3 linked regions of the Notamacropus eugenii genome follow. The protein of the gene in region 3 purifies or fractionates together with the protein of the main gene of each other region. This does not show direct contact. Links are inferred from orthologs where the notes say so. Each region holds a gene or a part of one and is shown on either strand. Other genes may lie near its edges. The genes, in order: ANAPC16, LATS2 and ANAPC1.

Region 1 (3,748 bases), about 370 Mb from region 3:
TGAATGGAAACTTAATGGAATTAGTTTACTTAAATTCTGAGACTCATAAATTTTATATTAGAAAACAACCAAACCTTTCTATAAAGTGTAATGGGATGGGAGAGGCCCTGATGAAACCATAACTTAGAAAAGCATCAACATTTAAACTCAATTTAGAGGGCTTTCTTTCCTCTTGTTAATACTTGAGGGTAAAATGATGCTAATGATCTTAAGTACATGAAGATATTGTCTTTATTAAAAATTGTTTTTTTCTCTTCTTGGCTAGAATGAAATGCTGCCAATTAGACTTACTTATTTCTAAATCTAAATGGAACCTCTTCTGCCCACATGGAAGCTACTGAGCAATTAAATTTTTAATTTGTTTTGAGGCCAAACTCCTTCATTCCACATAACTCATACTAGCATATGGGGTACTGTGCTTAACATAACAGAACACTAGCTCCAAGCTGCCTACAGGGTCAATGGTGCTAACACGTGCATCCTGGTACACAGCTCTTCTTCTCGCTCCAGATCTCTGTAAGACTAGAAGGACAGAAGCCCACATCAGAACTGTTATTAATTACAATCCCGGAACAAATAGAAATTCTGCTGCTTGACATTTAGAGATCTTCATGACCTGGCTCCTTCTCCATGCTCTGACAACCAGCCCCATAAGCTGGTCTTTGTACAGGCATTTTCCCTGGAATTTCCTTCTTCCTCATCTATGCCTCCTCCTCCTCCTGAAGTTTCAGCTAAAATCTCACTTTGTACAATCCTCCTAATTCTAGCATCTTCCCTCGGCTGATCATTTCTGAATTACCCTGCTTATGTCTCATTTGCCTGTCATCTCCCCTGCACTGGACTGTCACTGAGAGCAGGGATCATGTTTTTGCCATTCTTTATATTCTCAGAACTTAGCAGTGCCTGGCACAGAGTAGGGGCTTAGTAAAGACTGTTCACTGGACTATACTGCTAAGTTATCCACTATATTAATAATACAAACCAAGTCTAGAAGTCTTCATGGGCTTCACAGTTAACCCTCCTGCATTTTTCTTTCACAAATTACCTCTCTGCTTCCCCAGGTTAAAAGCACTGATTCCACAAGCAGATTCCTCAAGCGGCAGATTTCACCTTTCTCATGTGTGTAAGCAAAGAGAAATATCCAGATAAGTTTATAAATGTGAATACTGAAGGCTGTAATAGCCAAAAGGATGATGAACTGCTTTGGGAGGGGGAACAACTCTGCACCAGATAATAACCTTACGCATTTGCTTACATTGTGCTTTAAGGTCTACAAAGTACTTTTCTCATACCAACTCTACAGACGTAGCTAGGACAAGCACAATTATCCCCATTTTACATATGGAGAGAATGTGACAAGAAAGGTAGAGTGAATAGCCACACTGCCACTAGGTAGCAGAATCAGAATGGGAATTGAGGTCTTCTGATTCCAAGTTGAGCCCTTTTTTACAGACTATATAAAGCCTGCCTCTCATACATACTAACACTTCCAAGGGTCTGCCAAGGGGCCCAGATGCACTGGTGAGATTAGAAATAGAGAGATAAAGGGCCAATATCCTATATATAAGCAAGAGGTTAGCGGTGATCAGAATGGTTCCCATACCCCCAAGGGATTAGCTCAGTTGGTTACTGCATTATGCGAAAAAGGCTGAGATCCAGGGTTGGTTTTCCCATATGTAGAGTTACCTTTGCTCTTTTCCATGGCCACAGACTGCATCCCTAACCTTGGCCAGCTGTTTTGCAAATGTCTGTTGTTGGTCACAAGGAGGTCTGAATGAGAGAGTGAGGATGGTTCAATGCAAATCCATCTCTACCACTGGAAAAACTCAAAGCACATGCCCTGGCAGTGGAGTTAGTAATGTTAATTTTACATTTAGTCTATTTTAAAATTAAGTTTATATATACATAATTAAGTCTATATTAAGATTATTTTCATCTCCTAGAAACTAGGTAATGGGGTTTATTTTTCTTTAGTATGGTAAGCTAAAAAAAAAAAAAAGATACAACCTGCTAACTAGAGGACAGAGAGTTCCTTGGACATTAGGGACAAAACAGGGAACGTGAAAAAGAGGTTATTCTGTTTTGAGGCTGGTATACTTCTATCTACATTCCTTTTAATAGATACTTTACTATTTTATTATAAATTTGAATCTAATTATTCAGCAAAAAGCAGAGTATGTTCACCTTCTAACATTTCTCCAGCTCCTTTGGGGTAGGTGAAAAGGGCTTTCCGTGGTGGGGCAAGGTCTGAGACACTAAAGCCAGATCCAGTTACAGAACTTCCACTGACCCCTCCAGCTGAGGACGAGGATGAAGAGGCAGCCATTTTCTTTCTAGTCAATGAGAGAAAAAGAAAAAGAAAAACACAACAGCAGTTAGCAGGTTTATGGAAACAGAACCAGACAAGACTGAATTCAGTTCTGGGCAGCAGTCAGATCTCTCACAACCTCCCCATTCCTTATGTCCTGGGTGAAATCCTGACTCTAGTTCGGAAGAGAAAATAAATTTGCTGGTAGTTGGCTTTCTCAAAAATAACAAAAACAACAAACCACCACTACACCAAAAAAACACAACCACCCCCCAAAAAAACTTCCCACCTTTTAAAAAGTATCATTACTGATGTTAAAAGGAAGCTCCAGACAGAAGGTGTGAACAGTTTATAGGCTATAACCCAGGTGCCAAGGCAGGCAGTGCTGATGCAACAATGTGACTGGAGAAGAAACCAAACTATGTCACTGAGACAGCAAGTATGCCAGAAAGAACAATCTGTCCTGGACACACACTTATCACTCTGTGCCAAAACCAAATGTTATCAGAACTTCCAAGTAAACCTTTAGCCTCCCAGGTGAACACTGGGTTTCATTCCTGAGGTGAGGCAATCAGTCTGAAACACAACTTTTCATTTTTTGAGCTTTGCACACATTTAAAGCAAATGTAGTACTCAAAGTCATCACCTGGTGGCGTCTCCAAACTAAAAATACTCCCTAAAATCCATCAATTCAATAGCCTGGTTATGTTTAATATGGCTCCCAATGAGAATTTTCTACTTAAATTCACTACTCACTAACGGTATATGTAAAAAAAATAATTTTTGCTAGGCATATTTCCATAGTGCGTTGCATATAGTTGGTATCTAAATGTTTGCTACTGGAACTGAATTGCATTTAATCTAAATAACCCTGGAGAAAAGGTAGGAAGTTTGCCTATTTTCTGAAAAAGACTGTCTACTTTCTGGTTTTCCACATGAGGAAAAAAAGCCCAACAATCACCTCTGAGATACCATTCTGCTTCCTCACTGCTCTGATGTCCAAAACAAGAAGCCTGGTTTCTGGTTTATATGTGCAAGGGATACTGAGAAAGGTTACAGGTCTGTAGGCTAGGGGCTGTAGAGAAACTGGTACAGCCGGGAGCTCCTTAAAAGTGTCTCAATGGAATTAGCAATCTTACTATACCCTACATCAAAACCCTTCCTTACTTCTCACTAAGTTGATGACAATCAGTCATAAGGAGAAATTCATATGATCCTAAGTTTCAGAGTTTGAAAGAACGTTGAAAAGGAAGGGAAGGAAACCAGCATTTATAAAGTACCTTCTATGTGCACAGTGCTAGGCACCAGGCTAAGTGCTTTTCACAAGTATCTCATCTGGTTCTCACAACAACCCAGCAAAGTAGATACAATTATTACCTCTAGTTCACAGCTGAGGAAACTGAAGCAAACAGAGGTTAAGTGACTTGCCCAGGGTCACCC
Region 2 (3,748 bases), on a different chromosome or scaffold from region 3:
CCACAACGCAGAATGCAACTTCTTTGTAACTCAGTAGACTTTGAAAGTTAACCATGCTCAAAAACTTCATCACTCGGTGACCGAACTCGTGAAGAGCCTCCATAATACTCCGTTGCTTGTTTTAAGGTAGGACTCTCTTAAAGAGAGGCTAAATAACTTGTTGAACTAAACATAATGGAAGATTCAGGAATAGATTCTGGATCTGACTCCCCTCCCAGCTTCTCTGCACAATCGCTTCATTTTCGTTTGCTACAAAGTACACAGCCCCGAAGTGCTAACGCAGCACTGTACAAAGTACACACACACACACACACACACACACACACACACACACACACGTCACTCAATACTGCCAGCAGAAAACACACTGTTTTATGCACTGTACTGCAGTTCAAACAAAATATACGAGGTCAAGTGGGACTGGAGGGAGCTTAAGTTCGGTTTGCAAAGAGACAGCCTTCGTTCTTTGCGCGGTCCGATGGGTCCTTTAAGGAATTAGGAGGGGTCCCCTTGCTTGCGCCATGTTTCTGATGACTGCCAGCTGCTTGGTGACTCGCTTTCCCCTCCAGCCCAGTGGGTCTACGCCTCGGCAGCCCCAGGGAGATCCTTAAAGAAGCCAGCGGCAGCACGGGCCTGTGGGGCTACAAACTTTTCCAAGGGAGAGCTGTGGGGCGGGGGCAGAAGTGCAGAAATAACAGCAACCAAAGCTGGAGAATCCGTCACTGGCCGGGGCCAGAGACGGTGCCCCGGCTGGGTGACGGGGGACTGGGAGGGCGCAGGAGGTAGGAGCAGCGGCCGGACCCACAGCGGCGGCTCCGGCGGCTGCAGGAGCCCCGCCCGGGCTGGTATGCGGGCGGAGAATGACGCGGGAGGCGGGGTCACGTGACGCCCTTGGAATGCCAACAATGTAGCGAATGTCCCACTTGGGTCTGCGCGTTGGAACAGCGGCGTGAGCGCCCGGGGAAGATGGAGCAGCCGCCGCCGCAGCAGCCCCCGCCGCCGCCGCCCGCGACTCCTACGCTGCTGCCGCCTCCGCCCGGGGCACCCACCTCCCTGCGGGGCCAGCAGCGGCCCGAGCCGCCCGTGCCCGGCCGCTCAGCGCGAGAAGCCGCCGAGGCGCCGCTGGTCAGCGGCCCCCGCTGTTCCTAGACCCCACCCGTCTCTGGAAGTGAGTAGGCGCTGGGTGTGGAGTGATTGTGTGTGTGTGTGTGTGTGTGTGTGTGTGTGTGTCTAAGTGTGTAAGAGGGGGGCTGCAGTTATCAAAAGTTTGTCCGGGGGCTGCCAAGCTCAGGGTACTCCCTCTCCTCCTTCCAGTCCCCCACCTTCGCCGCGGGAGGTTCCGGACCGTCCGTCCGCGACGCTCCGCCGCGTGGGGCTGGCTCCGGCCAAGGGCAACGGCGGCCCCCCACTCTGGGGCGGAGAGTAGAGGGACCGAAGGGAAGTTTTCCCCTAGTCCGCCCCAGCTACTTCCCATTGGAGGGAGATAGCACCCACCCGACCCGGTGTCGGGTCGGGTCGGGACGAGGACGGTCCCAGAGCATCCTGGAGGGGGGTGAATTCGCCCGGTGGAGCGATGGCTCAGAGAGCCCATAACTCCGTCTCCGCCGTCCCCGCCGCCTCTACTGCAGCGCAAACTAAGTTTGGGACAAGTTGGCAGGGCACGGGCCGCGGGGACTTTGTCCGGGCGGTGAAGCTCCGGGTGCGCCTCTTTGTTGTGCGTCCCCAGGAATGGCTTTTCTGTGGTGTGTGAAGAAGGGGCAGGGTTACCCTTTTCTACCCAGCTGGCAACTGGAGGAGTCCGGAGACGGTGTCCTCCCTGGGCGGGGGTGGGGGAGATGCCTCTCTCATTCCTTAGAGGCGGAGAGAGCGAGAGGACCCGGGGATGTTGAACTGGGCTTTTCCATCAAAAGGTCCCTTGAGTCTAGACACTCTGATTCTGCTGGGGCGCTGCTGGCCCCGGGGCTCTTGACAACTCGGTTCTGTTTGGCTCAGCTGGGCCAGGCCCGTCCCAGGGGCAGTTGCACGTCACTGGTTGGGATGTCCCACGCAGGCCTCAATACCCTTGGGGCTCAATCCAGGCTCTCTCCCAGGCTTTTTTCTCTGTAAGTTTCCCTTTCTCCTTCATAAGTTTGTCTCGCTGTTTCCAACAAGCTCTTTAAGTTTCGGGAATACTTTCGCCGCGGTAGTTCTGGTGGCAGTTGCATAACATGTCTTCCCTGTGTCCTAGTTTAGCTGACTTTTCTGGGACTTGACTTTCTTAACTTCCTAATGCCACGCGCTCGCACTAACCCGGAGCGTTTATTTCCCCGGACCACCGAGGAAGGTGCTCATTGTGTTGTCTTGACTTTTTTTGTTTGTTTGCATATTACCTATCTACATTACCTGTCTTTGGAAACAAGGAATTTCAATTTTCCTTTTGGGAAAAATGCAGCCTATGGGACCAGATTGGCAGAAGACTGGAGCACTTGGCCGGAAAGCTTTTAATGTTTGATTCTTCCCAAGTTTTCTGTATAGTGTATCAGAATAAAACTACATCTGTATGTCTTGTTGGTATGGAGACGGCATGGTTAGAGTAACCTCCTAGGAGGAAATAGTCCCGACTCACCATGTGACCTTGAGCTGGTAAATACCACCTATATATTCCCTGCGGTGAAGTGAAAGCTAATGCTATTAAAAGCTCTGTCTACAGGATACTTTGTAAGGAAACATCAAGATGTATCTTTAGGAGTTACATTGTGTGAATAAAATAGGTTTTGGATAAGGACAGCAGCTGTTACATTATGGAGGAGGAGAGAAACACATTTAGGGCAAACTTAAAGTCTTCATTTGTAACATATGTGGTGACCTGAGCTTTGTGAACAGCGCTAAGCCAGAGAAGGTAATATTAATAGAGAATGTCAGCAATACATACGATAAGTAAAAATTCAAGTGAAATCTTTTCAGAAATAATTTTTTCATGAATTTGTTTATTTTTAAAGCAAACTTTGTGAATACTTTTAAGGCAGCCAGAATGAAGCAGGAATTCAGTTCCTAATTTCTGTTTGGATCTCAAATAGTCTGCAAATTGTAAAATTTTTGAAATTGGTGGGTAATGTGAAGCAAATAAAGGTGAAAGTAGATAGTTGTTTACTTTCAGAAAGGTTGTACCTAGAAGATTTTGGCCTTTATTTTAGGATAAATATCTGCTGCAGGTTGGATTCCCTAACATCTGCTTGAGAACCATTCATTCTTGGAGTGCTACAAGGAATGAGCTACTTCCGACCTTTTTAGCTTGTTTCACAATGCCTATTGTAATTCAAATGTATCACTAAATTAGAACTTCCAAATTCAGCAGAAATGAACTGTTCAGAAAAGGGTCTTTTAAATTTACATGACAGTTTGAGTTGACCTCATAAAATTTGGTCTAATTAGCTCCAGTTACATAGAGAATTCTGCTTAATGAATATATGTGTATTCCTTTGAAACGAATTCTCTGAGCACTTAATCAGAAGAGTCAAAGTCAGAAACTCAGATAATTTTGAAATTGTGTCTTAGATAATAACTGGTGTGGAAATATTCAGGTTAATTAGTAGGATCTTAGAAACTTAGAGCTAGTAGGGACATTAGAGACATAGAGTGTAAACCACCTCATGTAATTTGAAGTAGTTTTCAACTGATACTAAAACAATACATATTTCTTTCTCTTTTTTACCAAGTCTTTATGAAGCATTGGGAGGTCAAAGTTTATAGATAAAATGTCTTATCATTT
Region 3 (3,748 bases):
CCTCCACACGCGCTGGCCGGGGAGACACCTGCCTGCGCATAAAACCTCCCCCCCACAACGAAACTTGAAACAATTGAGGGCAAGGCCCCGGCTCCCCCTACGCGGCGACACGCGCCTTCTCTGCCTCAAGGGGCGAAGCGGGACAGTCTGGGCAGCCTCTGCCCCGAGAGACCCGGTGTCCCCCACCCCCAAAGCCAAGAAAACGGCGGGGCCGCGGCTGTCGGGGTGAAAGGAGTCTGGCGGGAGCGCACAGGAGAGCCCAGGGCACCGGGAGGAAGGGAAAGGCGCCAGGGGAGCATCCAGGCCGGACCCGGCGGAGGCTTGGCCTCGGCACCTTCTGGGGGGCGCGCCCACCTGAGTGACCCAGGAAACGTCGGGCGCTGCCCCTGCTGCTCCCCGGAGACGCGGGGACCGGGGCGAAGACGGGATCGGGCAAGCGGAGCGATGCGTGGCGGTGACTCCTCTGCCGCTACAACTTCTCATGCCCTCCCTCCTCTCCCTCCCGGGCTGCGGAGGAAGCGGTGGCGGTGGCGGGGAAGGCGGGAGGGCGACGCGGTGCCTCTACTGTCGGGAGGGCTGAAGATCTAGCTGGCGGGCGCGCGAGCGGCTCGGGCGAGAGGTTCAAATGGGCGCGGCCATCTTGGATGTCCCGTCATGCCCCGCGCCCAGAAGGGGCGTGGCCCGATGCGGATGCTCCGCCTCGCTTCTTGAGCCCTCTAGATCCGCCTAGGGAGAGGACGAGAGGGAGCCCGCCAGCGAATGAGAGAGAAGGAGGGCGGGGCAAAGCCGGCACACCTGGGCCGCGGGGGCTGAGGCTCCTTGGCGGGCTGCTGGAGTCCTGGTCCTGGTCCCCCGACCCTGAAAGAAAATTATGAAAGCGAAACTCCACCCCGCGCTGGGAAGCAGGGCCGTCACATTTATTGGGGGAGGAGGGAGGGCTTGTGGTTGTTTTCATTTAAATAGTGCTAGCTTAACGCACCGATCTCTTACCTTCTTCTAAGCTCTTAAATCCTTCCTAAACTGCTCCAACTTCACCTTTCCGGGTTTATTGGGTTACCCTCTTTACTGTTCTCGCCCTCTTGGGTCTAACCTTGGCCTCACCCCGACAGCCCCTCTCCTGCCTCCCTGGCACAGGCTGTGTGCCACCCCTCCCCCTTTCAGGGAATGCCCTCCCTCTGCCTCTTAAAATCCCTTCCCCCCATCAGAGTTCAGCAAGAACAGCGTCTTTTCCATAGGGTCTTTCCTGGTCCCCTCCCCCATCCCCTCATTACCTTACTCTTACCCTTATATACTTAATTAGTATATGCTTCTATGTGGACCCATTCTCTCTTCTCCTACAATGTCAGCTTCTGGAGGGTAAGACCTGTTGCACTTATTTCTTTGTCTCCCCAGTGCTGGCTTCCTTCAAGACCCAGTTCAGGGATCACCTTCTGCACTGGGCTGTTGTGCCTCAGCTTGTTGTGTTTGTGCTTAGTTCTGGAAGAGGACCATGACGTCAGGATGATGACATGACTTGCAATTGACTTTGATTGGAGTGAGGGAGGGCTGTGCAGTCACCAACCTCACTCTCTTCTCCTGAGCCACCTGGGTCTAGTGGTCAGATATTCATCAGGATGACTGAAGATGGCCCAGGATGCAATGGGAGACCCTGGCCCTTTCAGATTAAGGTCTTGAAAGAACTAATTCCAGAGATTAAAGAACTAGAAATCAGCCAACTACAAATCAAAGCTTGATTTATTGTTTTGTTGTCTAGACTGTAGAAAATGTTAATCATGGAGAGTAAATTTTAAAGTGTGTCCTGAGTATTTTTTTAAAAGAATTAGCTGTTAAAAACATTTTCCAGTACAGCTTTATTCCTTATATCTGTTATGAACTATTTCAAGCTTTTTGTTTGTTTGTTTTGGGTTTTTTAATTTGTTTTGCTTTTACAAATTACAAAATTTTTTTTACTAATTTTACATTTTTTTTGTTTTTACAAATTGTTTTACAAATTGAAGGTTTGTGGCAACCCTGTATCCAGCAAATCTATTGGTACCACTTTTCTAACAGCATATGCTTATATTGTGTCTCTCTGTCGCATTTTGGTAATTCTCACAATATTTGAAATTTTTTCATTATTGTTAACTGTTCTGGTGATCTGCATTCAGTGATCTTAGATGCTGCCATTGTAATTGTTTTGAGGCACCAAAAATCAGACCCAGATAAATCTTGAAGTGTTGTGTGTATGTGTTTTGACAGCTCCAATGACCTTTCTCCCTTCTCCCTATTCCCTGAGATTGAAGAATATTACATAAACTTAGTTGAGAAAGTAGCAGTTGAAAGGAATGACTCCAGTTTTGAAAGCGGTTCTACTGGGGGTAATATGCTATCAAACAACAGAACATGCTACAGAGAAATCTTCTGTGAAAGGAAAAGTAAATCAATATGGCCAACTTCATTGTTTTAGTTTAAGAAATTGCCACAGCCACCCCACTCTTCAGCAGCCATTAACCTCAAGGCAGGACCCTTCAGCGGCAAAAAGATTATGACTCACTGAAGAGTCAGATGATGGTTAGCGTTTTTTAACAATAAAGTATTTTTAAATTAAGGCATGCATGTTTTTTAGACATAATATTATTGCACACTTAGTACATTAAGGTAAACATAACTTTTATATGCATTGGAAAACCAAAAACCTTGTGTGACTCACTTTATTGTGATATTTGCTTTAAGTTATGGGGAGGGAGGTCTCTGAGGTATACCTATAGAGCTAACAATTCCTAGGAAAGGGTTGACTGGCCACAAAAACTTATAGAATGTGTAGTTCTGCCCTCTGACATAGGGAAGAAAGTCACAAGTTGACAATAGGAGTTTTGGGGCACGGAGCACTAGGAGAATGAGGAGAAAAAGGATAGCCAGCAGCCATTCCATGGCAACAACCAAACTATGGGAACAGTTTCATCTTTGGATGTCTAGACATCTGTAGTTCTATTCTTTAGAATGGAACAATGGGTTTTAAAATGGGGAGTGGGGTTGAGCTACCCTAATATGAGAGATGACATCTAAGTGAACAACCTGAGAGTTGGGTGACTGTGTTATCATAGGGACTTGCCCAGATAGCAAGAGCCCTGAGAGAAACAAGCTAGTTGGGAGAAATGAAAGAATGGGGCCCACCCCACTCTGGTCTTACTTCCACCTAAGTATGTTCCTAAAATTTATTCTGTTAAAAAAGTGAGTTGTCAAAATATATTATTAATCATAAACACATATGGTTGATCTAATTCTGATATTTCCTGCATGTCCCCCTTCCTCCAATCTTTTTTTTTTTTTAATTTTCTCAGCATGAGGATGCAAGGGGAGCAACTCAGGAGAGAGGGACCTTTCCTACTACAAGGCTAGAAACTCAACCCCAACCTATTTTTACAGAGTTTTGCTATCTAACTGGAGGCATAAACAAAACATACTTTATAATTACCTTTTAAGGGCAGAATTACCAAGAATGTAGGTCTGTATCTCCAAGGCAACATTCATAGGACCAAGGGAGATGATGAATATGCCAGCATAATTCTGAATCACAAAGTATAACAGACTCTCCATATAGAAGGCAAAAGAAAAAGATTTATTCAGACACCAGAAAGCCAAATCCATCATAGTAACCAAGAAGTCAATACACATTAGCACTACAGGGGACAAAGCCATTTCCAAGCCTTCCTCCCCATTGCGGCTTTCCCACAAGCAAACACTCACAAGACTGCCTATGTTCTCTCTC

What was found.
Region 1: the proteins of ANAPC1 (region 3) and ANAPC16 purify together in Homo sapiens (co-immunoprecipitation; 5 studies listed by BioGRID and IntAct, with this or other methods). This does not show direct contact. The link is inferred for Notamacropus eugenii from reciprocal best matches to the Homo sapiens genes ANAPC1 and ANAPC16.
Region 2: the proteins of ANAPC1 (region 3) and LATS2 purify together in Homo sapiens (affinity purification with mass spectrometry; 3 studies listed by BioGRID and IntAct, with this or other methods). This does not show direct contact. The link is inferred for Notamacropus eugenii from reciprocal best matches to the Homo sapiens genes ANAPC1 and LATS2.

Annotation. Positions count from the first base shown.
Region 1 is NC_092872.1:238,074,838-238,078,585, forward strand, and holds the start of ANAPC16 (anaphase-promoting complex subunit 16), read right to left. Parts: upstream 2,688-3,748; 5' UTR 2,615-2,687; coding exon 2,598-2,614; intron 2,334-2,597; coding exon 2,185-2,333; intron 1,771-2,184; coding exon 1,687-1,770; intron 1-1,686. UniProt on the Homo sapiens protein: Component of the anaphase promoting complex/cyclosome (APC/C), a cell cycle-regulated E3 ubiquitin ligase that controls progression through mitosis and the G1 phase of the cell cycle.
Region 2 is NC_092876.1:188,106,391-188,110,138, reverse strand, and holds the start of LATS2 (serine/threonine-protein kinase LATS2), read left to right. Parts: upstream 1-884; 5' UTR 885-1,168; intron 1,169-3,748. UniProt on the Homo sapiens protein: Negative regulator of YAP1 in the Hippo signaling pathway that plays a pivotal role in organ size control and tumor suppression by restricting proliferation and promoting apoptosis.
Region 3 is NC_092872.1:603,643,425-603,647,172, reverse strand, and holds the start of ANAPC1 (anaphase-promoting complex subunit 1), read right to left. Parts: upstream 3,012-3,748; 5' UTR 355-3,011; intron 1-354. UniProt on the Homo sapiens protein: Component of the anaphase promoting complex/cyclosome (APC/C), a cell cycle-regulated E3 ubiquitin ligase that controls progression through mitosis and the G1 phase of the cell cycle.